Rhinolophus ferrumequinum: one gene and its partners. The protein of the gene in region 1 interacts with the protein of each later gene in a pairwise test. Links are inferred from orthologs where the notes say so. Each region holds a gene or a part of one and is shown in the gene's direction. Other genes may lie near its edges. The genes, in order: ATXN3, DNM2, ARHGAP19 and EWSR1.

Region 1 (7,517 bases):
AGCACACTTTAAAATAGATTTGAGGGTGAAAAGATGCTGAACAGCAGCAGTCACTAGGGAAATACAAATTAAAAACAGACACCACCACTACACACCTACTTATTAAAATGCTTAAAATTAGAGACTGGTCTTACCAAGTGTTGGCAAGAATGTAGAGCTACTGGAACTCCCACTCACTTGCTGGCAGGAATGGAAGACGTAGCTGCCAGGAGGAGTTGTACCAATTTGTAAATCAGTTTAGCAGTTTCAAGTTAAACACAACTACCATATGACCCAGCCATTCCACTCTGAGATACCACCCAAGAGAAATGATAGCATACGTTCACACAGACACTTTTGTGAATGTTCATAGCAGCTTTATTTCTAATAGCCAAAAATTAGAGATAACCACAATGTCCATCCAAAAATGAATGGATAAATGTGATAAATCCATGTAATTGAGTACTACTCAGCAATAAAAAGAAATCTATTGATACAATGGATGAATTTCAGATTAATTATACTGAATGAAAGAAGAGACAAAAAGAACACACTGTGATTCCATTTATATAAAATGTAAGAAACTGCAAGCTAGTAACAGTCATTGCCTGGGGAACCAGGGTGCAGAAAGGTAGGAGGGAAGAATTACAAAGGGGCATGTGGAAACTTGGGTATAGTATGTTCATTTTCTTGATTGTGATGGTTTCATGCGTATATACATATGTCCTCTCATATTCGACTACCTCTCTTGGGAGACATTGTTTTAGGTGAGATTGAGTTCAGAAGTAAAATTACAATGAAATGATATTCCCTAAATTATCACTGATTCTTGTCAGAACTCAGGACCCAAGCCAACAGCCATTACAAGTTTTAAAATGTCAAACGTTTACAATTCTGTTAAACTATTTGATTTTGGGTAACAAAATTAATGTCAGTTTAAAAGGTATAGTGTTCAAGAAGCTAGAAATATATGCAATCTCACTTGTTAACATAAAATTTCAATGAAGTGGATTGAGAAAAGCTGATTGTCCGAGCGGACATAGAAAGTATGGAAGTGCAACTATTCCATCTACCCTGTCTCCAGGAAGTCTCCCGATTAGCTCAGTAACCTCTTCTACTGAATTATTGTAATACTTTTTTGTGCCAATCAGTCAGAAAGAATTCATGCATTTATTCACTGTTCTGTACCACCACTTTATATGAAGACTCCTCTGACCCTCAAAAGTTGAGTCTGGTAGTGTAGAAAGTAATCGCAGTATGATGTAATCAATGCTTCAATACAGGCCTGTGCAAGGTACTGTGGTGGCACAAAGGACTTTTCATCAGAGAACTTTCTGGAACTCAAGGGAAAGAGCTGGTGTGACTGGATCAGAGGGAATTCTGGGAGATAAAACCAGACAGGTGGTGGGTCCCGATCGTAGAACTTTTTAAGCCAGCAATGGGAAGGCACTGAAGGATTTTAAATAGAGTAAGATTTGTGTCATTATTTAAAGATCCCTCCCAATATAAGTTCCATGAAGATGGGACTGTTTGTCTCTTTCACGGTTGTAATCCAGTGCCTGATAACATAGTAGTACTCCATTTGTTCAACGAAAGGAAAACTGCTGAGATTTGTGTTTTTGAGAGATCACTGACAGCACTATGAATCGAACATACTAAGACTGGAATCAGAAGAATAACTCAGAGCTCCTCAAACACTACACGAAACCAAGGCAGCTTGAGCTAAGCAGTAATAATGAAAAAAGGGGAGAGAGAGGAGTGAATATATAGCATTTGAGGTCAAACTGGGACAAGGGGTGAGGTAGAAGAGGCGGGGGGAAAGAATGAAGAATGGTTCCCAGACGCTTGGCTTCACTAATTCATTTGAAAGGCATCATCAACTACTAGATATACGAAATCAAATAAGACATGAGCCCGGCCATCAAGACATTTATAGGGTAGTGGAGATGCATGATTAAACCAAGTATTATGATGCTGTGTAAAAGGCACTGTGTATGACTGAAGCACATACAGGGGCTCATAAGTAGGACAGGGACTTCTGGATTAGTTGGACAGGGACTTCTGGATTAGTTGGAGAGCAGGGAATGCTTTCTGGGGAGTATGGTCATTAGGTTTTGAAGGACGATATGTGTTGTCTTGCAAAGTGAAGTGCTGACTATCAAATGGAGTTATTAAAATAGGAAATGCAACAAAATCTAATACCCAAATCATACAGAAATTTGGTTTCAGAGATAAAGCCAAAACCAGAACCTGCATTCTGACTCCCAGGCATTGATCTTTTCACTTTATTCTTGCTATTAATCATGTGCTCAATAGGTCTAGAAGGCCTAATGAAATGACTAATATTAATTCAACATTACTAAATACTGTCAGGCTCTGTTCTAGGTGATAAGGATTTAACAGTGAACAAAACAGTAAGGCCCTCTGGCTAGCGTATATCCTAGTAAGCAATGAATTACTGTAGAAAGTTGAATCATGTTCCTCCAAAATTCAAGTCCACCCAGAACCAAAGACCTTATTTGGAAATAGGGTCTTTACCAATGTAATTAAAGAGCTCAACATGAAATCACCCTGGATTAAGGTGGGCTCTAAATCAAGTCACTGGTACCTTGTAAGAGGACGTGGAGAGACCCAAAAGGAAGAAGGCCATGTGAAGACACTGGCAGAGATTGGAGTTATGTGGCCACAAGTTAGTTAATGCCAGGAACCACCAGAGCTAGAAGAAGCAAGGAAGGATTCCCCCTAGAGATTTCAGAGCTGACACCTTGGATTCAGACATCTGGCATCAAGAATAGGGAGAGAATAAACTTCTGTTGTTTTAAGCCACCGAGTTGGTGGTAATTTGCTACAGCAGCCCTAGGAAATGAATACAATCACATAGTTTTTCTGAATAATACATTAATAATATAGCTCAAAAATCAAGAATAAAACTGTAGTGAAAAGTCTCCCTCCCACCCGTATCCTATTTAGCTAGTTCCTTTTTCATCTCAAACACATAACCTCTGGGATTCCTGTATATTCTTCCAGAGATGCTTGTATATAAATACATGTTTCTCTACATGGACACACACTCTCTTTAGGAAAAACATCAGAAAAACTGTTTTGCATATTTTTTCACTTCATGAGACCATGATGTGTTTCCCCAGTTAGGCGACAAGTCCTTAAGAACACAGACTATTTCCCCAATACAGGGGGCCTGCAGGACTGCAGACCACACAGAGACGTTCAATAAGTGGTCACCGAATCCTTCCTTGAGCACCTGGTCCTCACTCGCGGTCTCCATTTCCTTACCTCCTGGTGCCCCCTCTTACTCTGAACCTGCACTCTCCAAAGTCACCAGTGGTCTCCCTAGCAACAAAATTTAGTGGGCCCTTGTCCTTACGTTGCTCAACCTCTTCTTGGCAGCAAGTGACACTGGCTGCTCTATGACACATTTCCTTCCCAGGGCTTCCATGATATTACACTCTTCTGCTTTTCCTCCCTTTTCCTGGACTAGTCCTCCACTCTCAGGGCTGTGCTCCAGATATTCTTCTCACGCTCTTCCTTTTCCCCCTAGATGATTTTATGCACTCCTGTGGTTTTAGTTGCTTTTTCAATGTCAACAACTCCCAGTTCTACAGCCAAACCAACCTCCTGAACTCCAGACCAACATTCGTGTGTGTGTGTGTGTGTGTATGTGTGTAAAATCTCCACCCATTGCTCAACATGGTTACTTACCCTACTTTCAAGGTGCAACACCTGCTCCTGCTCTACTTCTTCAGCTTCCTCAAAGCCCTTTCCCCATTCTTTACTGGATCTTTCAGCTACGTGAATTGATGCTTTCTCTTCAGGGCCAGAACACATACACTAGTAACAAGGTGTCTGGATTTGGACCCCAACCCAAACTAGTAATTCACTAGTTGTTGACCTTGGACACTGTGCTGTTCTTAACCTCTCTGTGCCTCAGTTGCCTCATGAGTAAAATGGGATAATAACAACGCCTGCATCAAACGTTGCTGTATTAAATTCATTAACACATGCAAAGCTCTTAGAAGAGTGCCCACCCTACAGTAAGCCCTATATAAATATTAACTATCATTTTCACGTAAGTGCTAGGTATTGGGGGACGCAATGATACCTGTTTTTAATGAGGCAGAGGAGGAAGATACTAAATAATCATAATCAGATACAATAAGTAGAAAGTACAAAGTAAAGTGGAAAACAAAAAGAACATAGAACCCACGTGGCACTTACCCAAACCCCCACAAGCCGAAGAATCTACAGCAACGGGTGGGAAGTAGAGAAGATCCTCCAGACCTCCGGAGGCGCTGCAGGATCCTCCAGCAGCCCAGGCAACAGTCCACGAGAGGACGTGCTACAAAGGTCACGTGTCCCCGCGTTCACAGCCCCGGCGTTCACTCGCTCTTCGGTCCACGTGACTCTCATCCTCGGGGGTGATTGGTCCGCATGAGGAGAGTGTTTAGGGGCGGGTCGAAGCGGGGCGGGGCCGGGGGGGCGGAGGGGTGGGGCCGGGGGGGCGGAGCCGGAGGGGGCTGGCTCGGTGCGGGGGCCGTTGGCTCCAGACAAATAAACATGGAGTCCATCTTCCACGAGAAAGTGAGTGTCCGCATCCGGGGGGACCGGTGTGCGGCGCTGTGGCGGGAGTGGGGTGCGGTATCTCTACCTCCCGGTGAGCTGGGTGGGGCCCGAGTCACCCCCATCCCGATCTCCCCGGGCGGGCGGAGCTTCACCGGAGGGGAGCTTCATCGAGGCCCCCACCGCACCCCCCGCCCCTGAGGCCAGTGCCGACGGTCCCCGGGGAGCCCGGGGTCCGAGATGTCCGGGGAGCCGGGAGGGAGTGAGGGCAGGGCGGTGGGCGCCTCGGGGTACCGGAGAGGGGGTGGCACCGAGTGGGTTTGCTTCTGTGCTTCCCTTCCACTTTCCGTGGGATTCCTTCTCCAGTCCCTTCTTCCCTACTCTCGTAGGTTTTAGCTAGTCACCTCTCGGACACCTCCCTCGATCCTTCCCAACTCTCCCAATACTACCCCTGGCAGAATTATAATAACTTTTCCTTCTCTGGACTCAATTCTATTTTGGAATCTCTCATACACTTAGCTCCCTGGTGGTGTATTCATGTCCTTCTCGTGCACTAGGTTCGTGAGTCTCTCGAGTGCAGGGACGTTGGCTCAGCCCACGGAGGGCCTGACACTAAGGGACAAAGTAGGAAACCCCGTGCGCCCCTAAACAGGGAAGTCGTCATAAGTGTTTTTGTTAGGAAATGTTTGGTTTTCGTTTCTTTTGATAGTTCTATCTTTCCGGATCAGGAAGCCAGCTTTCTTATTGGATACTAGGGGTGAACTGGAATAATATTGCAGTGGTGCGCCTAGCTTGTTTTGTTTTGATTCTTCGATGACCACGTACTTGAAGATGCTGTTTGTGGCATGTGAAGAAACTCGTCTTTTCCCACGTAGAGTTATCAAGCCTTTTGGGTGTGAGTGAAATCTTCCTCAGGACAGCTATGGCACATATCTTGTTTCATAATAGTCTCGTTTGGAAAGGGTTGCTGGTGCGGCTCTTATTTAGTAGGAGCAAAGGGGTTTTCTTTTGTTAAATACTTCTAAATGATCATTTATTTAAAAAAAATTAACACACGACAATCAAATAAAGCAATCAAAGACCAGAGACACAGCATCAATCTAAACAGATTGTTAAATGGAATGCTTTTCTTTATAGAAAACATTTCAGAAAGTTTGGCACGTTCTAGAATGGACCAGTTTTTATGCGTGGGGAGGAAGAACTCCGATAGAGTTATTGCTAATCCTGACTTGATTGACCTAATTTAGGAAACTTGGACAAGAGAAATTTAGTTGCTTGTCAAGGAGATTGCATGAAGAGAACCCTTGCATGTATGTATTTTTATTACTAAGTTTCAGAAGCTTTGGTGTAGGACCAAATGTTTCCACATGGAAAACTTCCAACATTTTCCACACCATTTCTTGAGACCTACACAATATATATATTTTAACAATATTGGTTGTTACCTCTTTTGGATACATTTCAATAAAGGTAACTACCAAACCATGGGATCAAAAGAAACTGGGGGATAGCCTAATGAAAATGCATTTATAAGAAAGAAATCAGTCTCAATTATTAGCATGTGTGTAGGCTTAAAGATACTTCAGGAGAACATTTACGCTTATTAATTTTTGTGTACTTAGCAAACGAAGGTTCTTCTCAAGTTCTTTGGGCATATTTCAAGAGTATGGAAAGCATCTGTAATCATAGGACCCATTGTTAATCTCATACACAGTCCATTATGAAAATACTTGACCTTAATGTGCATTTTTCCAGCATTCTTGCTTCTCCTCCTACAAAGGGCCCTGTAACCACTTCTCCTTGGAATATTGGTTTCCCCATTTTCAGAGTTGTTGCTTTCAGTTCCTTTTATTAAGTTACAATGTAATCTAAACAAGTTGTTTACTGACATATTCTCTAGCGCCTGGCACATAGTAGGTGCTCAATAAATATTTGAATGAATCAAATGAGTTCTTTGAGCATCTAAGATGTATATGGTGCTGTCTACCTAAATAATTTTTCTGTAAATATTTTAGGCTTTGCAGGTCATATATAGTCTCACATACTCTTGTTTATGTGTGTTTTCCCAACCATCTGTAAATATAAAAACCATTCTTAGCTGCTAGTGCAGGTTGAATTTGGCCCAAGGGCTTGAGTTTGCCAATCCCTAACTTAAACCCTAATATTAAATGGCCATTAACTGCTTTTTTGTTTTGTTTTTATGTTTTTAGTTCCGGTGCCTGCTTTCTCTCATTTTTGTTATCACATCTATTGCTGACTGCTCTTGGTGAGGTTATTGTACCATCTGAATTGGTACTTCTATGTGATATAAACTGGGAATGATGACTGAACTGGTTGGGGTTATATTTAAAATTAGTGAAAACACCTAAAAGATGCTGAGCATTGACTTTATGACATCTATTATGCCCTTTGTGATTGCCTGTTCTTAGCCGTCTTCAGGATACTTGAGGTTTAGTAATAACCAAATTCCACATCAGTGGCCTGAGGAAGTGGTACCTAATAGCACAGACTTGAAGCCTCTGCCTGGGTTTGGAGCCCAGCTCTGCCCTTTACTACCTGTATGATCCTGGGTAAGTTACTTCCTATCTCTGCTCCAGTTTCCTCTTCTGTGTGTGAGGATAATAAAGCGTTTTCCTCGGAGTTGAGTGCTTAGAATGTTACCTGGCACTTAGCGCTGTAGCAGAGCTGGCATTGTTGTTATTTGGATGCCTGTGTTTGCTGAATCTCCTCAAAAGGGATGGAACCTTATTATCACTCAGATGAGAGGCTCAAATAAGACATGAGCCCTGCCACAGCCACCCTTACTTAGGTTCATGCCCGGTTTCCGTTCTAGTCACTAGTGTCTCTGGGAATTTGAACTAGTTTCAAGTTGGTCCTAAAATCTTTGAGGGCAATGGGGGAATGATTTGGATGCTGTTCCCTTTTGTGGTTTTATAAAATATCTTGGGAAAGCTGGAGATGCA
Region 2 (7,265 bases), on another chromosome or scaffold:
TCCTTTTGCAGATCAATCCGCTGGCTGGACCGTTGCATTGCAGCCCATCGGCGGCCGGACAAGCAAAATCTCTTCGCCATCATCCAGGGTGGGCTAGATGCGGATCTCCGGGCCACCTGCCTGGAAGGTAGAGCCATGTGCTGGCAGGACCAGGGCTTGTCACATCGCTGGGGGCCCCACAAAGGCCTGACATGCGATGGTGCTCAGACAGTGGTTGTTAATGGGTGAAACGGCACTGCAAGCGGAAGGAACAGCTGAAGCAAAGGCCCAGAGGCAGAATGGAGTAGAATGTTTGCAGAATAATAGTAATTCCAATTGCCATCAATTTTGGGGTGTTTACCAGACACTATGCCAAGTTCTGATCATGGATCTGATTAAGTTCTGACCCACTGATTTTTCATAACCATCCTGTAAGGTGGGAGCTACCACGTTCCTGAGGTTACAGAAGGGAAAACTGAGGCATAGAGCTGTTGTCACTCACCCCAAGCCAGACAGCTCGGATATTGCAGAGCTAGGATTTCGGCCCAGGCCTTGAGCTCTAGACTCTACAGCATTAATTGGTACACTGAGGGCCTGGGGAACCATGGAGGGCTGTTGAGTAGGAGTGTGATAGGAACCAATGGGGAACCATAGAAAAGTCCCAGTAGGACAGGAAGCACAAGGCCCGTGAGGAGGCTGGAGTGGGTGCCCAGAGGAAGGGTGACAGGACTACAGCAAGGCTGTGGAGATGAAGGAGAGGCAGAGATGGGGACACAGAGGGGGAGGAAGAGGAAGAAGAGGAGCAGTGTTTCCTTTTGTCTGGCCACCCCTCACCTTGCCCTGTACCCGCAGAGATGACCAAGAGGAACGTGCCGGGCTTCGCCATCGGGGGCCTGAGTGGGGGTGAGAGCAAGGGCCAGTTCTGGAGGATGGTGGCGCTGAGCACTTCGAGGTTGCCTAAGGACAAGCCCCGATACCTGATGGGGGTTGGGTATGTCCAAAAGGGGGCAGAGAGCCCCCCTTTAGGAAGTGGATTTCTGGGCACCCCCTGCCCTGTGGTATGGGGGGAAAGACAGACCTGCCTGGGAGGGGACTAAGGACGACATGGACCTCTGCTGGGGGTGGTTCTGAGGGTCTCAGTCCAGGGGGAGTCTGAGGGTCGGGAGGAGGACCTGGGTGTGTGACCAGGGCTTGAGGTACTGTGCTCGTCTCCCCCCATGGCCCCACCCCCAGCTATGCCACTGATCTGGTGGTCTGCGTGGCTCTTGGATGCGACATGTTCGACTGCGTTTTCCCCACGCGGACAGCGGTGAGGCTCTGGGCGGTTGAGGCAGGAACCTGGGGGGAGTGCCAAAGTGGGTGTGGGGGACAGGGTGAAAACATGGTTGACCTGCCTTCCCTTCCCCCTCTCCTCCCCCAGCGCTTTGGCTCTGCCCTGGTGCCCACCGGCAACCTGCAGTTGAAGAAGAAGCATTTTCAGAAGGACTTCCGCCCCATAGACCCCGAGTGTTCCTGTCCCACCTGCCAGAAGTAGGAGAGGATGGGATCTGGGGCCGGGGCGGGGGGGGGGGGGGGGGGGGGGGGGGGGGGGGAGTTGTGGAGGAGGCAGGATGCTACACTGCTGAGCCCTGACCCCCTGTCCCCAGGCACAGCCGGGCCTTTCTGCACGCACTACTCCACAGCGACAACACCGCCGCCCTGCACCACCTCACTGTTCACAACATCGCCTACCAGGTGGGCCTGTGGCTTGGGTGGGCAAGGCAGGGGTGGGGGCGGGGTCTTCAGGGCAGGCGGCTGACACTGACACCTCCACCCCATAGTTGCGGCTGATGGGAGCGGTGCGCGCCAGCATCGTGGAGAAACGCTTTCCCGACTTCGTGCGGGACTTCATGGGCACCATGTATGGGGACCCCACCCTCTGTCCCACCTGGGCCACTGAAGCCCTGGCCTCTGTGGGAATCACTCTGAGCTGACCCGGCTTGGGGGCCAGGGGGAGGGGCTGGAAGATATTGAAGGATTTGGTTTTTTATTGTAACTCAGAGTGTGTCTGTGCCTTCTTGGGGCGGTGGCCTGTATTGGTCCCATTCCTGGTCTGAGTGTCATCACGTCTGATGTCCCTTGCTTCCCTTTGATAGTAACTAATAACCATAGTAACAGCTGGTATCTGGCAACCACTTGGCACAGCCCAGTATGAAGGAAGTGGCCCAGAGTGAGAGCTGCATTCCTTTGCCCATGGCTTAGGCCCCCCAGCCACTCTAGGGGTGGGCACTTGTCCTCCCACTTTTTACAGGTGAGCAAACAGGCCCAGGGAGGGGAAGTAGCTTGCCCAAGGTCACCATTGAGGAAGTAGCAGCCTGGCTCCAGAGCTCATGCCCTTAGCCTTGTCTCTCCCAACATGTGGCTTCATCTTGTTGTCAGAAAACACAGTGATAATGACAATAGGTGTGATCTAGCAAATGCTTACACGATGCCTGACCTTGTTCTAAATGGTTGTTATGTGTATTGTATTTTTGCAACTTTATGTTGCATGAATAGCTATGTTCCTCATTTTACAGATGAAGAAACAGGTTTATGGGAATCAAGTCACTTGGTCTTTATCACCCAGCAAATAAACAGGCCCAGGATGTAACCCAGATATGGCCAATTACAGAGTTGGTGCTTTTAGAAGATAAGGGTTTTTAAATTGAAAAAGTAATACGTAGGATCCACCATTCAAATAACATAAAAATGCAACTATTTTGATCAGTTTGTGTATTCTTCCAGAAATTTTCCATGTGTACATATTTTCATGAATGTTGGTATCCTTTACACACAGTTCTTTACCTTGCTTTTTTTCCCCCTTAGTATTTTTCAAATTGTTTACATGTCAGTACATGAGGAGTTCCTCATCTTATTTATAGCTGCTGCATAGTATTTATTTAACTAGCTCCATGGATGGGCAGTTAAGAGTGTTTCCAGGTTATTCTGCTATTCTAGTCAAGGCTGCAATGCCAAATCTTGTTGGTCTCCTTTTGCCCATCTCTCTGAGACCTGAAGTTTGGGTCTTGAAGCAGTCATATACTACAGGCCGCTTGAAGCAGTCATATACTATAGGCCGCTCTGCCATCCTCCTCTCCACAGTTTCTCCGAATCAGCCCATTTTCCCACCTCCATAGCTCCTGACTCCCTACTGGGCTCTTCTGCATTCTCCGACCTCCTCAGTTTCTCTCTGATCCATCTATGCCCAGGAGGATCAAATCACTTCTTAACGTGTCTTTTCATAGACAGAAGATCCGCTGAGTTTCAATGGGTACTCAAAAAGATCATGACGCGCCGAAGTTGGGGCCGGGGAACAACGTTGGATGCCTTAGTCTCATCTAGACTGGGTGTGAGCGGAAGGTAATCCGAGGAGAGGATACAGCATTCGCATAGGCGTGGAGGTGTGACTTTATATAGGAATGAGAGTGGGAGACGACAATACAGAGCTAGACTGCCTCTTCTTAGGATCCTTAGTATCGCTGAACTCCCACCTTCGAAGCGCCCTGGAACCCCGCGCAGAGAGGTGGTTTGCAAGCCCCGGGCCGAGATGTATTCTGGGACTTGTAGTTTTATTTAGAGCCTGGCAACTCAACAAGTGCTGATCACCACCGATTTCCACCAATAAGTGTCGCCCTTCAGAGGTTTCGATGGGCCTTACCCTCTGCTCCAGAAAACTTAATAGACATACAGAATACGAGTAAGAACGGGATATTGTTGATTGACAGGTACAGTTCTCAATCAGAGTTAAGATTCGGAGGTTAAAGTCCGCCCTCTTTCGGTTTGTTGGCTAATGGAATGGAGTGATATTTTTATAAACCAATGGGAAATTTTTAGAGAACTAGGTAGCGTCAAATGACAAACGCAGGTCTAAAGGATCGATCCCTAACATCATTGGCCAGCGTTGTTGACTGGAGGATCTTCTTGCCAATAAAACTGGCGGATTTTCATGCCTCCCTCTAGCAGGCGGAGCCAACATGCCTTTTCCCGAAACACCACCTACCAGCCTTGACATCTCGGTACCCGCCTCTATTGGCTTTCGCATAACAGCGACAGTTCTAACATCCAATGAGCCCGCGAGGCGGTCCCAATGGGGAAGGCTCACTCAGCCTTAAGTCCGTGCCTCACTTTCATTGGTTCGCGCTCACAAGTGGCAGCTTGGCCGGCCAATTGAGCGTGGCGCGCGGGCTTTGGGCGCAGCCCCGAGGCCCTGGCGGGAGGTCGCTCGGGTCGGGTGTCGCCTGAGAACCGGATGAAGTGGCGACCGTGAGGCCGAGCCGGACCGGGCGTCGCGCCGAGGCCCGGGCGGGCAGGGAGCAACGGCCGCGGACGCCGCGGGGCCGTGTCGTTGAGGGCCGGGGGCGGGCGGGGAGCGCTGGGCGCTCGGGCAGGGGCTGCCGGCGCCATGGGCAACCGCGGGATGGAAGAGCTGATCCCGCTGGTCAACAAGCTGCAGGATGCCTTTAGCTCCATCGGCCAGAGCTGCCACCTGGACCTTCCGCAGATCGCCGTGGTGGGCGGCCAGAGCGCCGGCAAGAGCTCGGTGCTGGAGAACTTCGTGGGCCGGTGAGCGAGCGCGGCGGCGACCGCGGGCGGGCGGCGGCCTAGGGCGCGGAGGGCGGACCGGGAATGGCGCGCCCTGCGCCGCCGGCGTAACTGCGGCGCTTGCGTGCCTGCGGTGGGGACCGGGACTGGGAGGCGGGTCCTGTTGGACGCCCTGAGTGTAGGGCTCCCTGCGAAGGCTGGGGAGTCGGCGCAGGCCCAAGGCGGGTCTAACCGGCTGGGGGTCGGGGGGTGGGCCAGGAGCTGCGGTGGACCGCTGCCGACTCTGGTCCCCACTTTTAGTGGGTGAATTCTACCATCTGGTTGCCTGTGGGTCAGGGATAGGTCTCTCTTCTCTGTCCAAAACCTAGATATGTTTTGGGCCGACCCCTGCGGTCTGGCTGGCTGTTCATTTATCTGGAGCAGTCCCTGCTGTCTGGTTAGCTGTGTCTCTGTCCTGGATAGGCCTGCCTGCTACCACCATTTGGTTGTCCATCTGTCCAGTTCTGCAGGGCAGCCCCCTGCTGTCTGGCTCGCTGTCCAGGATGACCTGTGTAGTCTGGCCGCCCATCCGTGCCCCTCAAAGACTTTAACACTTAGCCATCCTTCTGTTGGGTTACCCCAGTTGGCCTCTGCTATCTGACTGGCTGTCTGGACCTAGGGGAGCCTGTTGTCTGGACTCTTCAGACAACCCTGGAGCCTGGCCTCACTCTTCAGTTTGGTCTCTGGCAAACACTGGCTCCTCTCTTCCAAGTGGATCTTTTAGTTCCTCTCTCCTAGTGTCTGTCCTTCTAGTCTGCCCATCAGTGCCCTTAACAGCCCCTGTCTGGCCCACCCTCTGTGGTAGGGGGTGATAGGAATTTAGAGAAGAGAAGGGAGCTGAAGGATGAGACTTGAACTACTCCCTTGTCAGTTGGAATTAGGAGTTGGGGGCGAATTTTCTCCGGGATTCTTTCCTGGCCAATGACAGGGTGTTTCAGGACCCCGGAACACAGGGGCCAGACACCAAGCTAAAGCCTGCCAATTGGGGGCCCTCTTGGAGCCTGGGAAGGGACTTCTTGTCTGATCAGGCCTCCATCTTAAGAGCTGGGATAAGGTCTTCCCAGGGCAGCCCTGAGAAGCCTCAGTTTGCCCATCTGTTCAGTGGACAGATTTCACTCTCTGTGTTATTTCGGGGATTCAGGAAGCTAATATAGAGAAGCGGTCCTGTGGCCAATGAGGTCGGTTGATTCTCCCCTCTCCCTTCTTCTGCCTCTTGCCCTTCTGCTTCCCAGATGGGCGGCCACGTTTCTATTCTGGGAAGGACTCCATTTGTGACTGGCTGTCAAATGATAATGTCATAGTCATTGTCATGATTACTGTTCCTGTTATCAGTGTGAAGGAGTAATGTTAATCCACTAGGCAACCAGGCTGAGTTCTTTCTTGGTTCAGAGTCTTGAGTTCCTTGATGAGCAAGTAGGGTGGAGGTTGTTATCCCCACCTTAGAGATGAGCAGGGAGGCTCAGAAAGGCCCGGCCATTTGCCCAAGGCCACCAGCCTGGTGCTCACTTGGAGCCCAGCTGAACATGCGGCCCCGTCTCTGCTTTCCCGGAGGCCTGGGGTTTTGTTCCCAGTGGCATGAATTTCCTCCTTTGCTGCTTTGTCTCCTGGCACTTTGCCCTCTGTCCACTGTGACAGAAAGTGTGGGTTTGGGGTCAGCTCAGCCTGGGTTGTGGGCCTCTCTGCATGGCCGTCTTCCTGCCTGCCCAGGCTTCTGGTGGGCATCTGCAAAGCTTTGTCCGTTTTAGTTGCCTTTGACTTTGCACAGGTTTTTGACCTCTTTGAGCCTTGTTTCCCCCTCCTAAAAATGGGGTGATGGTCCCTCAAGACTGTTGCAGGGATGCAGTGACATAGTATGTTGAAAGTGCTTATTTAGCATAGTACCTGGCACACAGTAGGTCTATATGGCCATTATTCACTGTGCTGGTTCCTCTCATATTGACAACAAAAGCTAATCAAAGTTAAAGTGGTCTCAAGTTTCACACTGGACTTCATTTAAGCCTTATGAGGGTGGTACTGCTATGATCCCATTTCACAGACCAGGAAGCTGAGGCTTAGAGAGCTGAGCACTTTTATTTGAGGCTGTTAAGTGAGGAATTGGGGGCTTTGAGGGGGAGAGTCTTTCTCCTCTCTCCACCTTTCTTCTGTCCCTCTGCCCCTTGCCTTTCTCTCCCATCCACGCTGGCGTCTGGTGACTGCCAGCTCCTACTGAGCTGGCTTCTGTAGCAACCTCCTCCCCTAAACCCGCAATGCGACATCCTTCATTAAGAGCATTAATTTGGGGCCTGAGAACCAAAGTTGTCAAAAGGCCTCTCTTTGGGTAGGTGTGTTCTGACAGAACTAATTTCTTTTTATTTCTGGAATGTGGGGAAGGCCCCTCAGCTACAAAGCCCTGATCCAAGGGGATGGCAGATGGACTTCACTTTGAATTGCACTCCCTACTTCTTTCTGGGCATTTGGTCAAACTGTTGTTTTGTTCTTCTCATCGTGGACCAGTACAGTGGATGTCCCACTGATTTCGAGGAACAGACAAGAGAGGGTCCAAGGTATGTGCCTGGGGGTCAGCACACGTTGCTCCATTTCAGTGCCTCCTCCTTGTGGATTTTCTAAGAATGTGGTTGGAGTGGGAATGACCCAGTTAACTTAGCCCTGTATGGGGGTTGCATATCAGTGGCCCCCGGGGGCTAAGT
Region 3 (7,785 bases), on another chromosome or scaffold:
TGGCAAACAGCATGGCCGCCCTGCCCCTCCAGTTACAGCCTGAGCTTTCTGAAGGTAGGAGTCAGGGCTCATTCAACTCTATAGCCCCAGTGCGGAGCTCAGTGCCTGATAGATGGTGAATCCCACACACAGATGCCCTGACTGCATGTGCTTCCGGTCCCTCTCTCTGCCAGCCTGTTGCTGGTGACCTGGCTGGGGAAGATGACCCCCAGGGTTTTTACCTTGGGGGTTCCAGCCCAGAACTCGTTCATTGCTAGCTGCCCAGAATTGGTTCCTTGACCTCACTGAGTTCCCTCCGTCACCCTCTAACGCCCTGTAGCCAAGCTTGGAGAGGATTCCACAGCAAAACGGAAAACGGTTTTCTTTTCTCAGCAAACGGAATAATGTAGATGTTAATCTTTGATGTGTCTGAAGGAGACTGAATGGTTTGCCCCGAATAAACAGGTGCCCCAGGAAGCAAAAACAAAACAAACAAACAAAACCAGGAATGATTTGTAGCACACATCTGTCTTTTAATATTTTTCCCCTTTTGGAGGTAATTTCTCACTTTGGCGGGACACAGGGCTTTCCTTCCGCAGAAGGGTGAAGATAAGCTACCTAAACTCAGCCAATCAGATGTTCTCACCCATGACTGCCTCTCCAGGGATTGACAGAAGACTGTGGGACAGACGGGAAATCAGCAGAGGGGTGACTCTGCTGAGAATCAAGTGGCACTGATTAGTGTGACCTTGGCTGGGATTCGGAGTCCCTAACTCCATCCCTTCCATCAGTTCTCCAACCTAGTATCCTTCCAACAAATCCAGTTTCTGTTAGGTTAGCCAAAGTAAGTTTCTGGTGCTTGCAACACAGGCTGACATAAACCTAAATGTGCAATTGGTGGGGACAATTTAAATAAACCGGAACATCTCTAATGTGGGATACTACACAGCAGTTTAAAAGAGCGAGAGCAATCTATATATGTACTGACATGGAAAGATCTCTAAGATGCACATATAAAGACCATATTTACAGCATATCAATATTTATCTAAAAATAAAACAAAATAATGTATTTCTCTCTATGTGTGTGTTACCTTGAGAATGAAATACTATAAGACAGGGACTTTGTTTTGTTCACACCTGGTATCTCCGGGCCTAGAACAGTGCATGGCACATGGTAGACATTCAATAAGTATTTGTTGAATAAATGTACTGTGTAGAAAATGATCTGGAAGATCGCATATCAAACTGAAAATAGTGGCTTCTTAGAGGAGGGACTAGAATGTAGGGGCGGTAGATGAGGGAGATTTTACCTGTATGTATTTGAAAAATTTTTTTTACAAGAAAAATGTCTTCATGCGTTACTTGTATAATTAAACAATATAAAAAGAGCTAAATATTAACAGGTGATGAGAAAGCCATTAAAATGATGATTCCCAGGCAGCCAGATGGCTCCATTGGGTAGAGCGCAAGTTCTGAACAACAGGGTTGCTGGTTCAATTCCCACATGGGCCAGTGAGCTGCGCCCTCCACAAGTAGATTGAAGACAACGAGCTGCCACTGAGCTTCTGGACGGGGCAGCCAGATGGCTCAGTTGGTTAGAGCCCGAGCTCTTAACAATAAGGTTTCCTGGTTCAATTCCCACATGGGATGGTGGGCTGTGCCCCCTGCAACTAAATATTGAAAACGACAACGGGACTTGGAGCTGAGCTGCGCCCTGCACTAACGACTTGGAGCTGATGGGCCCTGGCGAAACACGCTGTTCCCCAATAATTCTTTAAAAGAATAAAAAAATAAAATGATGATTCCCAAGACTTTATCATAACAAATAACAAGTTAGGTGGCAAAGAAAGGGGAAAGGAATGGATTATTGCAGGTGTGCAAGTGATATTTTGGTGGGGGTATTGGCCATTTTGACAAGAGAATGAACCGTTAACTTTTTAGTCTTTTTTTTAATGGTCAATAGGCACCCTCACCCCATCCCTAATTAGTCTCAATAGAGATGCAAAACTCAGAAATATTCATTACACTCATGAGCACACTTTTATATTTTCACGTGGGCATCAAAATGTCCTGCTTTAATTTAAGCAGAGGGAACAGCAAGAACAAAAGTGGAAAACAAAGATTCATCCGAGGACTGCCAGTCACTTGCATTGAAGTGCATTGAAGGTAGAGGTGGGGGTGTGGAAAGCATGATGTTGGGGTGGGGGCCATGGACAGATCATCCTTCTCGTTCTTTCTCTTCCATCTTCTACTTCTTCTTCTCTCTCAACTTTCTCCTTTCCTTTTACCCCCTCCATTGAGACTAGGGCCTGGAAATACAAAGATGATTAGAACACTACTTCTTTCCCCCAAACTTGAGGTCTGTTGGGGTAGGTGGATGGATTTGCATGACCTTTGTGGCAGACTCAAGTCCATGCCACTGCTCTTAAGCCGTCCCTGAGAGCCCTGGCCTCCAGCCCTTCTCCACCCTTCTGAATTCTGAGGAGTCTCTTCTCTACTTTGATAGCCCTCTGTAATTCTAAACTGTATGTGATTTATGTGTGTTCATTATGTCTCCCAGAGTCTATTATAAACTCCTTGAGGACTGGAGCCACTTTTCTGTGACCTTCTGTTCAGCCAGGCTGATAGAAACAAGATGACTTTCTGAACTTTCATGAATTCCTTCTATATAGCCATGCTTATCAGCCAGCTGACAAAATAGTACCTAGATGGACTAAAGATGATTTCAGGGGAGCTGTGACACCTTGCAGAAACAGAGTGTGCAGGTTTGTCAGCTTTGAGGGGTGGGGGTCCTTTTATAGCACTCAGCAATGATACTTGCTTTTAATCAGAAGTCACAGGGGAACAGTTGGTTTTGAGGAGAAACACTCCCCTCTCCAGAGTAAATGATGCAACTGTAACTTCAAGTGTAATGTATGGTCTTTATCACACAGCAATGGAGATAGAAGTGATATCTGAGAAGGGAGTTAAGCATTCTTGATATTCATCATATCACCTTGAATATTTATTTATCTAGTCCTGGTATGTGCCAGACACTGTGTTGCTAAGCAGCTTTTCAGATATTATCGCATTTAATCTTCACACTACCCTTCTGACAATTATTATCCTCATTTTACAGAAGAGGAAATGGATTCAGAAAGTAAAGCAACTTGCCTGGAATCACAGAGCTGAAGTGATAGAGCCAGGATTTGAACCTAGGTTCACTAACTCCAGAGCTCATGCTTTTAACTAGTGTGTTGTATTTCCCCAAATATTAAGGGCTTTGTATAAAAATGTCATCAAACCAGAGGAACCAGAAATATAGTTGTGTGGTGTTTCTCTGAGTTGTGGTAATAAAAATTTTGAACATTTCTTTTGTGTGAAAGAATCAATTTCATTCAGTCAATCAATGTGCTGAGTGTCAGGGGGCCAGAAAAAAGAACCTTGTTCATACATGTTTGTTGAATTTCATATATTTGCTGGATAAAAACAATTTGTTAAACATAAAACTAAATGCAATTTTATTTGACACTTTTATCAAACTTAATATGAATTCTCATAGATTGAAATAATCTATTAGAACATGTGATTCAATTTTTGACTTGGATAATATAGTCTGAGGACTTCTTTATTAATTTGTTCAAACGATATTGAAAGGCCACTATGTGCAAGATGCCATGGCAAAATAGACATAGTCTGTGCCCACTTGTGTCAGGAAGTCTAGTTTTGAACCTTCACATGAAACAAATGGTCACACAAACAACTATATAATTATGAATTGTGATAAGAGCTGTAGAGTACAGAGTGTTGTGTGCAAGTTTAATAGGGGAACTGATTTGTATAGTGGGCCATTGAAGGCATCTGAACCAGTGACATTTAAGCTGAGATATGAAAGATAATAAAGTGAGAAATGGGCCAGCCAGAACAAGCAACACCTGCGCAGGCTCTGAGGCAGGGAAGAATTTGTTGAGAAACTGAAACATATGTGGGTAGAGCTTAGTGAAAGAGAAGGAGAGAGCTGGGAGAACCTCAGGTAAAAGGAAGTCAGAAGGAACAACAGAAGAAATATTCCTAGAAAAATCCATAGATAAAAGCATAGAAAAAGAATACAGAAAAAAATTAATGCTTTATGTTTACAATGTGTTCATATCTGTTGCTTTAGTTAATCTTCACCAGAAGCCTGTCAGGCAGGGAAGACAAGTGTAATTATTATTTCTACCATTGAGGATTAAAGCTCAGCCAGGGAGAGTTATGCAGGTTTTGGTTCCATGATTCAGAACAGAGAGGCAAACTCGGTGGGTTCTCTGGGATGCCGGAAGGGAGCGGGTGGAATGAAGCATAAGTAACCTATCGCTGTGCTGTGTGACCATCTGAAAAAAGCAGGCTGTGAACTAAATTCAATAGTAAGTACTTCTTTGTTGCCACTCTGTACCTAGCCTTCTAGGTATCTCACTGTGTCAAGACAGAAAACGAAATCTTGCATTTAAGAGAGTGACTTTTAAAGTCACTTTCAAATTCGAGTTTTGTAATTCTGAGCTTTACATGTCAGGTCAAAATTTGAGCGTAAACTGCGGGTATTTGATTTGAACCTAAAAGTCAGGGTAATCCGAAGGGTTAATCAAAACGAGAAACTACAACTCCCGGAAGGCCCCAACCCCTTTCTATCCCGCTAGGGCAGGGGCTGACCAATGACGGTTAGTTGTTTGAATAAACCAATAATATCATGAAACTGTTTTGGTTGAGAAGGGGCGGTCAAGTTATCCAATCGTATGGAAGAGGGGAGAAACACCTTAGCCAATCCAAAGGCGTGGGGGTGGGGCCTGAGGTGGTTCAGTGAAAGAAGTTTGCCGACTGTGATGGCGACTGAGGCTCAGAGTGAAGGGGAGGTGCCAGCCGGCGAATCCAGGAGGAGGTGAGCCGAGTTCTTGGTCCAGCTGCCTAGGAAACCAGCCTGTGGGCTGGTCGTACTGACGCCTTTCCCTTGGGTCATGGTGACCAAACGGGCCCGGGCTTTGTGCCTTCCACCCACGGTGTTTCGCACCCTGGTGCCTGTTGAGGCTGAGGCGCGGTGGTCCCGCCCAGCGTTGGGCTTTAATCAGCCCCCGCTTTGTCCTGCAGATGTCCGTGGGAGGTCCGCCCGCGGTGTTGGCTGCAAACTGACCAGTTGGTGGTGTCAGGACTGCCTGCCTTTGCGCTGAGACTCATCTTGATGGTGAGGCAACTCAAGCCCAGAGCTGTTAATCGAATTCCCCAGCGTCACACAGCGCTGGGAGAGAACGCTGTCAGTACCTTTTAATCTACTCTGAGTCAGATTATGTACTTTAAGTCAGAGTAAGGATTTGAGTGTCAGTTAAAAAAGGGTTTGAGTCCTTGGGCCAATTTTTAAAAAAAATTTATTGTGGCAAGAACATTTACCCTCTTGGCAAAATTTTAAGTGTCCAATACAGTATTGCTGACTATAGGTAAAATGATGTGCAGCATATTTTAAGAGCTTATTCTTCCTGAAACGTTATGCCTGTTAATTAGTAATTCCCCATTTCCCCTACCCCCAGGGCCTGGGAACCACCATTCCACTCTAATTCCATGAATTTCACTATTTTAGATACTTTATGTAAGTGGTATCATGCAGTATTTGTCTTTCTGTAACTGGCTTATTTCACTTAACCTGATGTCCTCAAGGTTCATCCATGTTGTCACATATTGCAGAATTTTCTTTTTAAAAGCTGAGTAATATTCCATTCTATGTATATACCATATTTTGCTTATCCGTTCATCTGTCCATGAACGTTTAGGTCTTTCCACATCTTGGCTGTTGTTAATTGTGCCTCAATGAACATGGGAGTGCTAATATCTCTTTGAGATCCTGATTTCAATACTTTTGGGTAAATACCCAGAAGTGGGATTGCTGGATCATATGGTGTTCTATTTTCAATTTTTGAGGAAACTCCATACTATTTTCCATAGCAGCTGCACCATTTTGTTTTCCCACCAACAGTGTACAAAAGTTCCAATTTCTCCATATCCTCACCAACACTTGTCTTTTTTTTTTTTTAAATAATTGTCATCCTGACAGATATGAAGTGATATCTCATTGTAATCAGGAATACGGACGGCATGGATGCCCAATCTTGCCACTTCTGTTCAGCATAGTACTGGAAGTCCTAGCCAGAGCAATTAGGCAAGAAAAATCAGAAGGCATCTAAATCGGAAAGGAATAAGTAAAATTGTCCCTGTTTGCAGACATGATCTTATATATATATAAAGTCCTAAAAATGCTAACAAAAAGACTGTTAGAACTAATAAACAAATTTGTAAAGTTGCAGGATGCAAATCAACATACAAAAATCAGTTACATTTCTATACACAGTGAACTATCTGAAGAGGAAATTAGGAAAACAATTCCATTTATAAGAGCACCAAAAAGAATAGTATACTTAGGCCAATTTTTAAACCTCTCTCAGCTTCAGATTTTCCATCTGTAAATGGATGTAATGATGTCTAGTCCACAAAATGCCAGGATTAAACTAGACAATTCTATTAAAGCTCTTAGGACTGAGCCTTGCAGATAATAACCACTTAATACTTGGTAGATTTTCTTTTTCCTAGAACAACTGAAGAACAGACAAGAGGGATCTGCAGTTTAGGAAATCATCATTTCTACAGTGTTCTCTCCTAAGCAAGCACACTGAAACTTAGCATTTCTGAGAAAGAATTTCCAGCTGGTCTTGCTCCAGCCGTGAGATCTTAGTTGTCTTAATTGATTACACATACAGACGGTGCCATAAAAATATATACACAAATTAAGAAAAGAAAATACTGTGTTAAAATTGTAATACAATGAATAACGCTAGCATTCATTTGATTAACGCCATCTTTTGAGCAAATGTCATACTACACATTGCTGCCATAATTCAATTCAACCTTGAAAAGTAATACATGAATAACATCTCTTAAAATGTGTACATATTTTGGGCAGCCAGATGGCTCAGTTGGTTAGAGTGCGAGCTCTGAACAACAGGGTTGCCGGTTGGATTCCCACATGGGCCAGTGAGCTGCACCCTCCACAACTAGATTGAAGGACAACTTGGAGCTGAGGGGCCCTGGAGAAACACACTGTTCCCCAATATTCCCCAATTAAAAAAAAAAGTGTACATTTTGTTGGCACCTCTGGTATGTTAGAATTCAGTAGAATGAGCTTATTTTCATTGCCTCAGTATAAATCAGTAAAACACTTTAGTTTGATATCTCTTGGTGCCATTTATACTGAATAGGAGTTTCCAAGTCTCGTGAAGCTGGGTAATGAGCTCGCACTGAGCTCCTTCCCTGGTTGAGACGGGCGTGGTTTAATGTGTTGTTTAATATTTTATAGGAAGAGTTTTCCATTCTTGGAGCTGCCTATAAATCGTTGCCGGGAAACTGTAGAGGGGATTAATAAATTTGATTAGATCATTCCTTATCCTCCTGTAAAACCTTGAATTGTGATGAAGACAAAATACTATTCTGTAGCAGAAGTAGTTTGGATTCCTTTAGAGGATGTTGCCAACTGAATGTAAATTTTGTAATGGTATTAATTACATGATCAACAGGTATTCACAGCATCTTATCTGAACCTGAAACTTATCAACTCCATGTTGTAAAAGAGAAGTTGGGTTTCTGTAAGGCTTTTTGAGGGCAGGACATGTGAAGATTTTTATTACATATTCCCAACTTAGCTTTGCTTTGTTTAGGTGGTCAATAATGAATGAATAAGAGTCTCTGTCATTTCTAAGATATAAAATATTACTTTGTGGTGATAAATACCATACAAATATATTTTTTGCCCTGC
Region 4 (7,451 bases), on another chromosome or scaffold:
AGAGGAAAAGGGACCTGCCTGAAGCTACTCAGCCAGTGAGAGGAGCAGCCAATGTGCCTCACCCCAAAAGCTGTATCATCCAGTTTCAGCCACCCCGTACCCACTGTTTCCAGAGCCCTACCTACCTGCTCAGGTCTGTGACTCAAGGCGCAGCTTTGGGCTCAATAACACATCCCCTATTGCCCTGAGCCAGGGAAACTTGCTCCCCATACTGGGATTCAGCCAGGCCTCAGCAGCTGGTGTCCCCGATCCTAAATAACTACAGGGGTCTGCCTGTGCCCGCTGTTCTCTCAGATTGCAGTTTTCCCCAACAGGCATTCAGCATCTGGAGCAAAAGCCTGTGTTTAATGCACATGCACCACCAGCCATAGGTGGTTCTCCCTTTCGGCGCCCAGAGAACCCCAGCTCATTCTCACCCCTGGCCTTTGTATTTTCTGTGCCCTCTGCTTGGCCCTCTCCTTTTTCACTACATTTTAACCCCTCATCCTGCACGCATCAGCTTAGATGCCACCTCTACTAGGGAGGTCCAGGTTAGGTGCCTCCTTGGGCCACCTCAGCACTCTAGGCTCCCCTTTAAATTGGTATTGGTACCTCCACCTGTGGCCACGAGCCCCCAGGCCACAGCCCAGAAGCCTGGCTGGAGGAGAACATGGAGATGCTCCTGGAACGTCTACGTGTGCACAGCTTCCCGGCATTGTTGGGTCTGACCCCCTTATGCCACCTCCTTTCCAGGCACCTTGGGGGCCCAGCCTCAGAACCCACATGTCCATACAGGCCCAGAGCCCAGCCAAAGGATACAGGCCAGGCCAGCAAGGAGGCCACAAAAGAGTTGCAGGAAGGGTGGCTCAGAGCTGAGCAGGGGTGTCAGGGCGAGCAGCAGCCATGGCAACAGCCATGGTGGCAGTGCCCCATGGGGCCGTTGTGGGCGGTAACCCTGCCCTGCCAGCATGGCCAGGTGGACAGGCATATATCCGCAGCCACCAGCTGCACCGGACACCCCGAGGCCTGCCAGTAGCACAGCCATTAGCCCGGCGGCCAGGGCGAGCAGCATGGAGGCATGCAGGAACTGCAGGGTGCCCAGGTGGCACTCTTGCTGCCAGCCCAGTGCAGGCAGGAGCAGCAGACTCAGGAGCAGGCTGGGTAGGGCCGTGTGGCCTAGAGCATGGGTCAGCAGCCGGTGTGCTGGGAGAGAAGAGGGGCTTATGTGCCAGGTTAGTGGCCCCAACCCCAAAGGCTGTCCCAGGTGTGCCAGGTTGGGAATTACCCTCTGCCAGGGCCACCCGCTGAAGCCAGCCTCCCCTCCCCAGGAGCCAAAGTCTGCCCACTGCCAGCAATCACTCGTGGAGGGAACCAAGGGTTTCCAAACACTGGAGCTGCTCCCAGGACGTATTAAGCAGAACAAGGTGGACCTACCACTCGGTCTTCTCAAGAGTAACCAACTATGGATGAGTCACTTAACCTCTGTGAGCATCATTTGGGTTCCTCAGATGTAAATGGAAGCTGCTATTATTATTGGGGAACAGGTACTCAGCTGGGGTCACTCCTGAACCCTCAGCGCCTCCTCCCCATTCTCATGCTTAGCTGAAAGCCTTAGTTCTTATTTCAAGGAAAGCCCTCAGAAAGGGAAGCTGTCTGAAAAGAATTCCTATTCACAGGCTCTCACCCCTCCGCTGGCTCCTCCGCCCTCCCTGGCTGTGGACGAACTAGGAGTACTCCCATCCAAGGCTGACCTTCCCAAGGGTACTGGTTCTATCCCTGCCTGACCACTGCAGGAGGCACACAGCTCCTGCCAACTGGTCTCAGGCCCTAAAGCAAGTCTCTTGCTTCCTCCAAGGCCCATGTGACCAGCCCTCACCCTGCCAGGGATCCAGCAGCAGCTCCGGGGCCAGGGTGAGGCTGGGGCCGGCCCCCACCAGCCACAGGCTGCTCATGAGCAGCATCAGGACTGAGGAAGCAAGAGGCAGCGCCGGGGAGAGGAGGGCAGGGGGGCCTCTGCCACGCATAGCTTGGCTGAAGGTGGTCAAGGGTGGTCCTGAGGCTGCGTGCTAGGGGTAAAGGAAAACAGTAACAACAGTTATTATTGCAGCTTTTGTCTGACTCTTTCAACTACCCTACCAAGAGCTCCATTTTACAGAAGTAGGAACTGAGGCTGGAGAGGCAGTCTCAGCAACTTGGCCAGAGGAACTCGGACCGTAACCATGTGCTTAGCCATCTTGCCAGTCCACCTGCCTATGTGTGCGGATGGAGGGGCGAGGCCAAAAGAGCCCTCATGGGCCCTGAAGAGGAGCCAGGGGTGGGAGGCACAGGGCCAGGGAAGTTAATTGGGGCCCTGGACTCCCAAAGAGGTACCCCTGGGGCAAGTTCAGAGCCATCTCCAGCTTTCCTCAGGCTGCGACCAGCCACCTTCCTCCCTACCCCCTCTACTGTGTCCAGGCTTAGAGCTCTGGATGGCCTCAGATGCCCTTGACCAAGGGAGAGAGACCAGCCAATGGGCAGGCAGATTAGGGAGGGAGTGGGGCAGAAGAGCTTGGGGGGGGGGCAGCAGGAGTCCCACACCCTGAGAGCATACAAAGTGACACTGGACTGAGACATCCCCTTCCTTAGAACCCTGAGCACAGCCCCTCCCCTTCTCACAGGACCGGTCCAGTATCCACTTCTTCCTGTTGTGTATCCCTGGGCAAGCTTTGCATCCTCTAAGCCTCTCCTTCCTCTTCTGTAAAATGGGGATTAATAAAAGCCTTTCCGTGTAGGATGAGAAAAAGGAATGGACTAAGGCAGGGCGAGCCCACAGCAAACTGTGGGAGGCAGATGCTTCAGCCTCAGTGGTTCAAGCTCTGGCCTTCAATCGTGCCCATTCCCTGCCCACATGACAAGGCTTTTTCTCCCCTGTGCTCTCCCTTCACACCCCACCTGTCCTGCAGGCCCTGCTGGAATCCCCTCAGCCTTGGCCAGGTCTGTCTATCTCAGGAGTCCCACTGAACTGATTTCAAAGGGCAGGAAGCAAAATCCCACAGAGACAAGGTGGCCTCATCTGCTCCCTTGCCAAGGGCACCCTCAGCATCAAAACCCACCTGCCAGTTTCCTGCAGGAAAAATGTAGAAAGCTCCTCTGTCTGCAATGTCCTTTCCTCCATCTCTTCAACAGGCAAACTCTTTTCGCACCCCTTGAAGCCCAGTTCAAATGTCCCCATCTCCATCTCTGGGCCCCCACATCATGAATCTTATCATATCTAATGAGCACGGCTTAGCCTTTCTCCCTGGCAGGTGATCTGAGCTGGAGTGGGGGTCGGGGGATTCGCTCCTCTCACTCATCCCCAAGTTCCTCAGGGTGCTGCTCCCCACATATTGCTGGTGCTGTATATGTATTCACTGAAAGAAAGACACTAGCTTGGCACCACGACCCGCTGAGGGATTTGAGTGAGATTGGGTTGAGAGTAGAAAGGGAGACAAGTGCCACCCTTGTCCGGAAACAAGGAATCCACTTTAGGCTTTCTCCTGCACCCTCACAACCAAGTCCCCCCTCCACCTCTCCAGTCCCCCGCCCTCAGGTACCTTAGCAAGGGTGAACTCGCCCATGGACAAACAGAATTGGGATTTGAACCTCCCTGGCCTCAGTCTCTTTATCTATAAAATGGGGCTATAAACCATCAGACCCTACCTACCTTACTGGGAAACCGGCGGACAGAATGGGAAGGCAAGGACGGGGAAGATTCTTCCGGGTGATGGAGAGAGTGGGGGTCCCAGGGTGCGGGTCGGACTCAGCTTTGTGACTTTAGGAAAAGTACCCAAATTCCTTGGACCTCAGTTTCCCCTTCTGTAAAAACAAGAGTATTGGATGAAGAATGATTAAAGGGCCTTTTCAACCTCGACCGTTACTGGGGGGCTCTCGGGGCCGGTCGCAACGTTCGGGGCCTCCCATCCTGCCTCAGCCCCCGCCCTCGCCGGCCTGGGCCACGTGTCCGGGGTACTCACTGCTGAGCGCGCCCCGGCCCGCGGAAGGCCGGGCACGATCCCAGGCTGGGAGTCGGTACTCAACCTTCCCCCCAAGGCCCGAGCGCCCCAAACCCATTCTGCTCGCGGTCGGGCGCGTGACCCCGGCGGACCAGCCGGCGCGCCACCCCCTCCCCCGCGGCCCGCCGATTAGTCAGCAGTTGTTCTAGGCCCAGATCCCTTCCCCCAATCCTCCCTCCGGCCTCCGTTTCCCTTCAAGGCAGACTCTTCAGAGACAGTCCCTAGAGCCAGCGGACGTAACCATCCAACAATTTAGCCTCGTGCGAAGAATCACTCCGCCTTCGTATCAAGATCCGCTCACCGGCCGCTTCAGCCCCTTCGCTGCTATTTGGACCCGCGCGTCAAGTCCGGCGCTCTTTAGAGAGGATTAGGAAAAGAGTAGAGGTCGGGAGAACGAGAAAAACTGTGGCTCATCCCTCTTTCCCACACCCCCGTGGCCTGGCCCCATGGTAGCGCCCGAGGTTGCGGGTTTCGCGCCTGCGCAGTGCGGCGCCTAGAGGGAAAGCGAGAGGGAGACGGACGTTGAGAGAACGAGAAGGAAGGAGAGAAAATGGCGTCCACGGGTGAGTGTGGTGGAAATGCGGCCGCGCCGGCGATGGCCGGGACTCCCAAATCGGGACAGCTCGTCTCTGGGGGTGGCCGGGACAACTGAGTGGAGTTTCTGAGAAGTGTGTGAGGTACCCGCCGCGGCCCGACGAGCTCGAGGGCCCACGTTCCCGTCCCCTCCCCCACTGGGTAGGCCGGCTCTGGAACCTTCCAGCGCCCCCGCCGTACGGGGGGCTCGCGGCGGCAGGGGCGCGCGGGGCCTGCGGTGGCCTCCATTGTGTGGCGGCCGTCGGGCCCCGCGCGCCCGGCCTCCCGCCACGTGGGCGGGGCCTGCGGCCTTCAGAGCTCCGCCGGGGATGGCGCTCGGTCCGGCTTCGAGCCGGGCACCCCAAAACCTGAGGTGGGGGGGGCCGGACGATGGTTCCCGAAGTCGTGAGCCCGCTGCCCTTCCGACTTCCCCACCCCCATTTACAGAGAGACGGCCCAAACCCGAAGGAGACTCTATTTCACCGAAAAGCTTGGGGAGAAAGCAAATAAAAAAAGCCATCGTGGATTTGTGAGCCGAGGGGCGCCGACCTATGAGCAGGAGCCCCGTCATGCTTAGGGCCTGGTCTGCTGGGGCGTCCGGTGCCACCTAAGCTGCCCCTTTCGGCGGGTTCCAGCCCCAAGCCGAATTTCTGCCCGACTGGGCTTACAAGGGATGTGCTCCCCCTCCCTTCAAAATCTCCCCAGTCGGCTGTTCCCTCCGGCTTCTTCGTTTTCACCATCATTAATCCCGCCCCAAAAAGCAATTAAGTGGCTTCTCAGGGTTATTTTTCATCAAACGCCGAGAGATCCGTTGTATGATGAGACCAGCCCGGATCGCGAGGCCAGAAATCCCTACCGAAAGAAATCTCTCTAGTTTCTGGCCTAAGAGAAACAAAAGGCCCGGGTCGGCATTTGTACTATGCTTAAGCAGTCGTCTCACACTTGCACTTGCCTAGGTTAAGCCGGTAGAGAGGGAAGGAGGCGCGGAGTGGGAGCTGGAAATGTGGTGTCTAGGGTGGGCCTTCCTGCGAGGAGTATTTAAGAGTGTAGCCTAAACATCACCTGCACTTGGCAGCCTGTTCCCGCACTAACCTGAGGTTATCGGTAGGGTGGGGCATTTTCCCCCGGGCCTTATTCTTAGGCGGTCTAAGTCTAGGCCTTAGAAGCTGTAGGAGAAAAGGTTAGACGGAGCTCTTCTCCAACTGTGTGGTCAGTAAGCAGGCAGGTAAATGCTGGTTGTTGGTGCCAGGGTACAGAGTGTCCCTAGAAGAAAGGACTCTGAAATATCACAGCCCAAGACATCCTGGTGGAAAGGGATTTCCTCAGCCCATTCCACCTTCCTCTTCTCCCTTCCCTGTTAAAGCTTGGGCAGTCAAAATGTGTTAAAATTTTTGTGGCTGGATATGCCAGTTTTTTGTCTGCTTTGCTCAGACTCTGTTTACTGCTAACCTCTGAGTACTATGTACTATATTAGTATTACAGTTGCAGTTTATGTAGAAAGTGACCCAGCTGGGGTATGTTGGGGGAGTCACATAACTTATCTGAACTTTGGTTTCCTTTCGTTCAAAATAAAGGAGCTGCTACACCTTTTAAGAGCTTTCAAAGCCCTTAACTTTTGACCTTACAGCAAAGCATTTTTGGCTCCCACAAAATTGCCTCATACTGACTTTCACTTTTTATGTAGTCTGAAGTTCTAAATCTCCACAGTTTGTATAGTGACTGCCCTAAAGTATCTAAAAGCCCCCATATCTTGGGTAGTGTTAAATGTGTTTCCTCCTCACTTGCATCTATATAGAAAAGTATCTAAAATGCAGGGTATGTCCATTTTAACAAATTAAAATGCACACCCCGAGTGACTGCATGCAGATATTGCCAGCACTCTAAAGGCCCACCTAGATCACAGCCCTCGCCCCCAGTCTGTCCATTTTCAGTAAAGTCTTCAACTGCACATTTGGGGGTTAAAAGCAAAACAGTGATCGGTAAATAATCTGACTAGTGTGTGACAAGAGCATTTTTGAGGCCATATAATTGTGTGCTGTGAGTAGATAACGTAAGTTCTCCTAAAACAAATTGGCTACCTTCCATAGCCCACCAATGTGGGGCTAAAGCATCTGGTTTCATGTTGATTGAGAACATTGGTTGTTCTATATCAGCTTTGCCAGTTTTATGTTTTACATAACCGTTCTTGTATAAAAGTGCTCTTGCAAACATTGAACTTAGATGTCATGATTTAGAATCATTTCTCAAGCAGAAACCTCGAAATGTAGGTTAAACTATCAATTTTCAATGCTTCCTTGTTGTATTTTGTGAATACCACATGGAATAAGTGATTTTCATTTACTTTTTATTTGCCACATAAAGAGCATGGTTTGTAGTGCCATTGAAAATGCCTTAACGTTTAACTTTCAAATGCTATAAGGTTGTCTTTGAACAAATCAATTCATAGCCTTTGGGCAGTTGATTTAATAATGTTGATTCAGGTTTCTGAACTAAGGGTGTACAGAGGAAAGAAAGTTGAGTCAAGTGTAGGGGTAGAAAGATGAGCCAACTGCAAGAGATGAGTTCAGGCAGGCCTTTGATGGGGGGGTGGAAACCCTTCCATAAAGAGCTGAGATGTCAAACTGTTGCTTTCAGAGGAAGGTCTACTTTCTAACTGGAATAGAAAGGACACTTGTTTGGGCCTAATGGAGGTATTGTCTTCTGACAGATACGTATATTCTTATGGAGAGCAAAGAATTGGACAGAATTTTTTAAAATAATTAACTTTATATATGTATACTCGTACATTTAATTCGGAAGTGCTGTGAGAACTTCTTAACCATTTTGTTTTCTGTTTTCACTACTTGTAGAGACCTCACTGGACCAGAA

What was found.
Region 2: the proteins of ATXN3 (region 1) and DNM2 interact in binary tests that used the Homo sapiens proteins (3 or more experiments, as listed by UniProt). The link is inferred for Rhinolophus ferrumequinum from reciprocal best matches to the Homo sapiens genes ATXN3 and DNM2.
Region 3: the proteins of ATXN3 (region 1) and ARHGAP19 interact in binary tests that used the Homo sapiens proteins (3 or more experiments, as listed by UniProt). The link is inferred for Rhinolophus ferrumequinum from reciprocal best matches to the Homo sapiens genes ATXN3 and ARHGAP19.
Region 4: the proteins of ATXN3 (region 1) and EWSR1 interact in binary tests that used the Homo sapiens proteins (3 or more experiments, as listed by UniProt). The link is inferred for Rhinolophus ferrumequinum from reciprocal best matches to the Homo sapiens genes ATXN3 and EWSR1.

The regions. Positions count from the first base shown.
Region 1 is NC_046289.1:10,469,682-10,477,198, forward strand, and holds the start of ATXN3 (ataxin-3), read left to right. Parts: upstream 1-4,507; 5' UTR 4,508-4,551; coding exon 4,552-4,575; exon of another isoform or gene 4,576-4,648; intron 4,649-6,769; exon of another isoform or gene 6,770-6,820; intron 6,821-6,983; exon of another isoform or gene 6,984-7,124; intron 7,125-7,517. UniProt on the Homo sapiens protein: Deubiquitinating enzyme involved in protein homeostasis maintenance, transcription, cytoskeleton regulation, myogenesis and degradation of misfolded chaperone substrates.
Region 2 is NC_046301.1:39,642,725-39,649,989, reverse strand, and holds the start of DNM2 (dynamin-2), read left to right. Parts: upstream 1-4,252; 5' UTR 4,253-4,399; coding exon 4,400-4,560; intron 4,561-7,265. Other genes in the region: QTRT1 (queuine tRNA-ribosyltransferase catalytic subunit 1), read left to right, coding at 12-127, 832-970, 1,213-1,288, 1,400-1,509, 1,626-1,713, 1,800-1,952. UniProt on the Homo sapiens protein: Catalyzes the hydrolysis of GTP and utilizes this energy to mediate vesicle scission at plasma membrane during endocytosis and filament remodeling at many actin structures during organization of the actin cytoskeleton.
Region 3 is NC_046299.1:26,442,688-26,450,472, forward strand, and holds the start of ARHGAP19 (rho GTPase-activating protein 19), read left to right. Parts: upstream 1-4,779; 5' UTR 4,780-4,816; coding exon 4,817-4,872; intron 4,873-7,785. UniProt on the Homo sapiens protein: GTPase activator for the Rho-type GTPases by converting them to an inactive GDP-bound state.
Region 4 is NC_046308.1:18,737,322-18,744,772, forward strand, and holds the start of EWSR1 (RNA-binding protein EWS), read left to right. Parts: upstream 1-4,440; 5' UTR 4,441-4,560; coding exon 4,561-4,573; intron 4,574-7,451. Other genes in the region: RHBDD3 (rhomboid domain-containing protein 3), read right to left, coding at 799-1,182, 1,856-2,003. UniProt on the Homo sapiens protein: Binds to ssRNA containing the consensus sequence 5'-AGGUAA-3'. Might normally function as a transcriptional repressor. EWS-fusion-proteins (EFPS) may play a role in the tumorigenic process.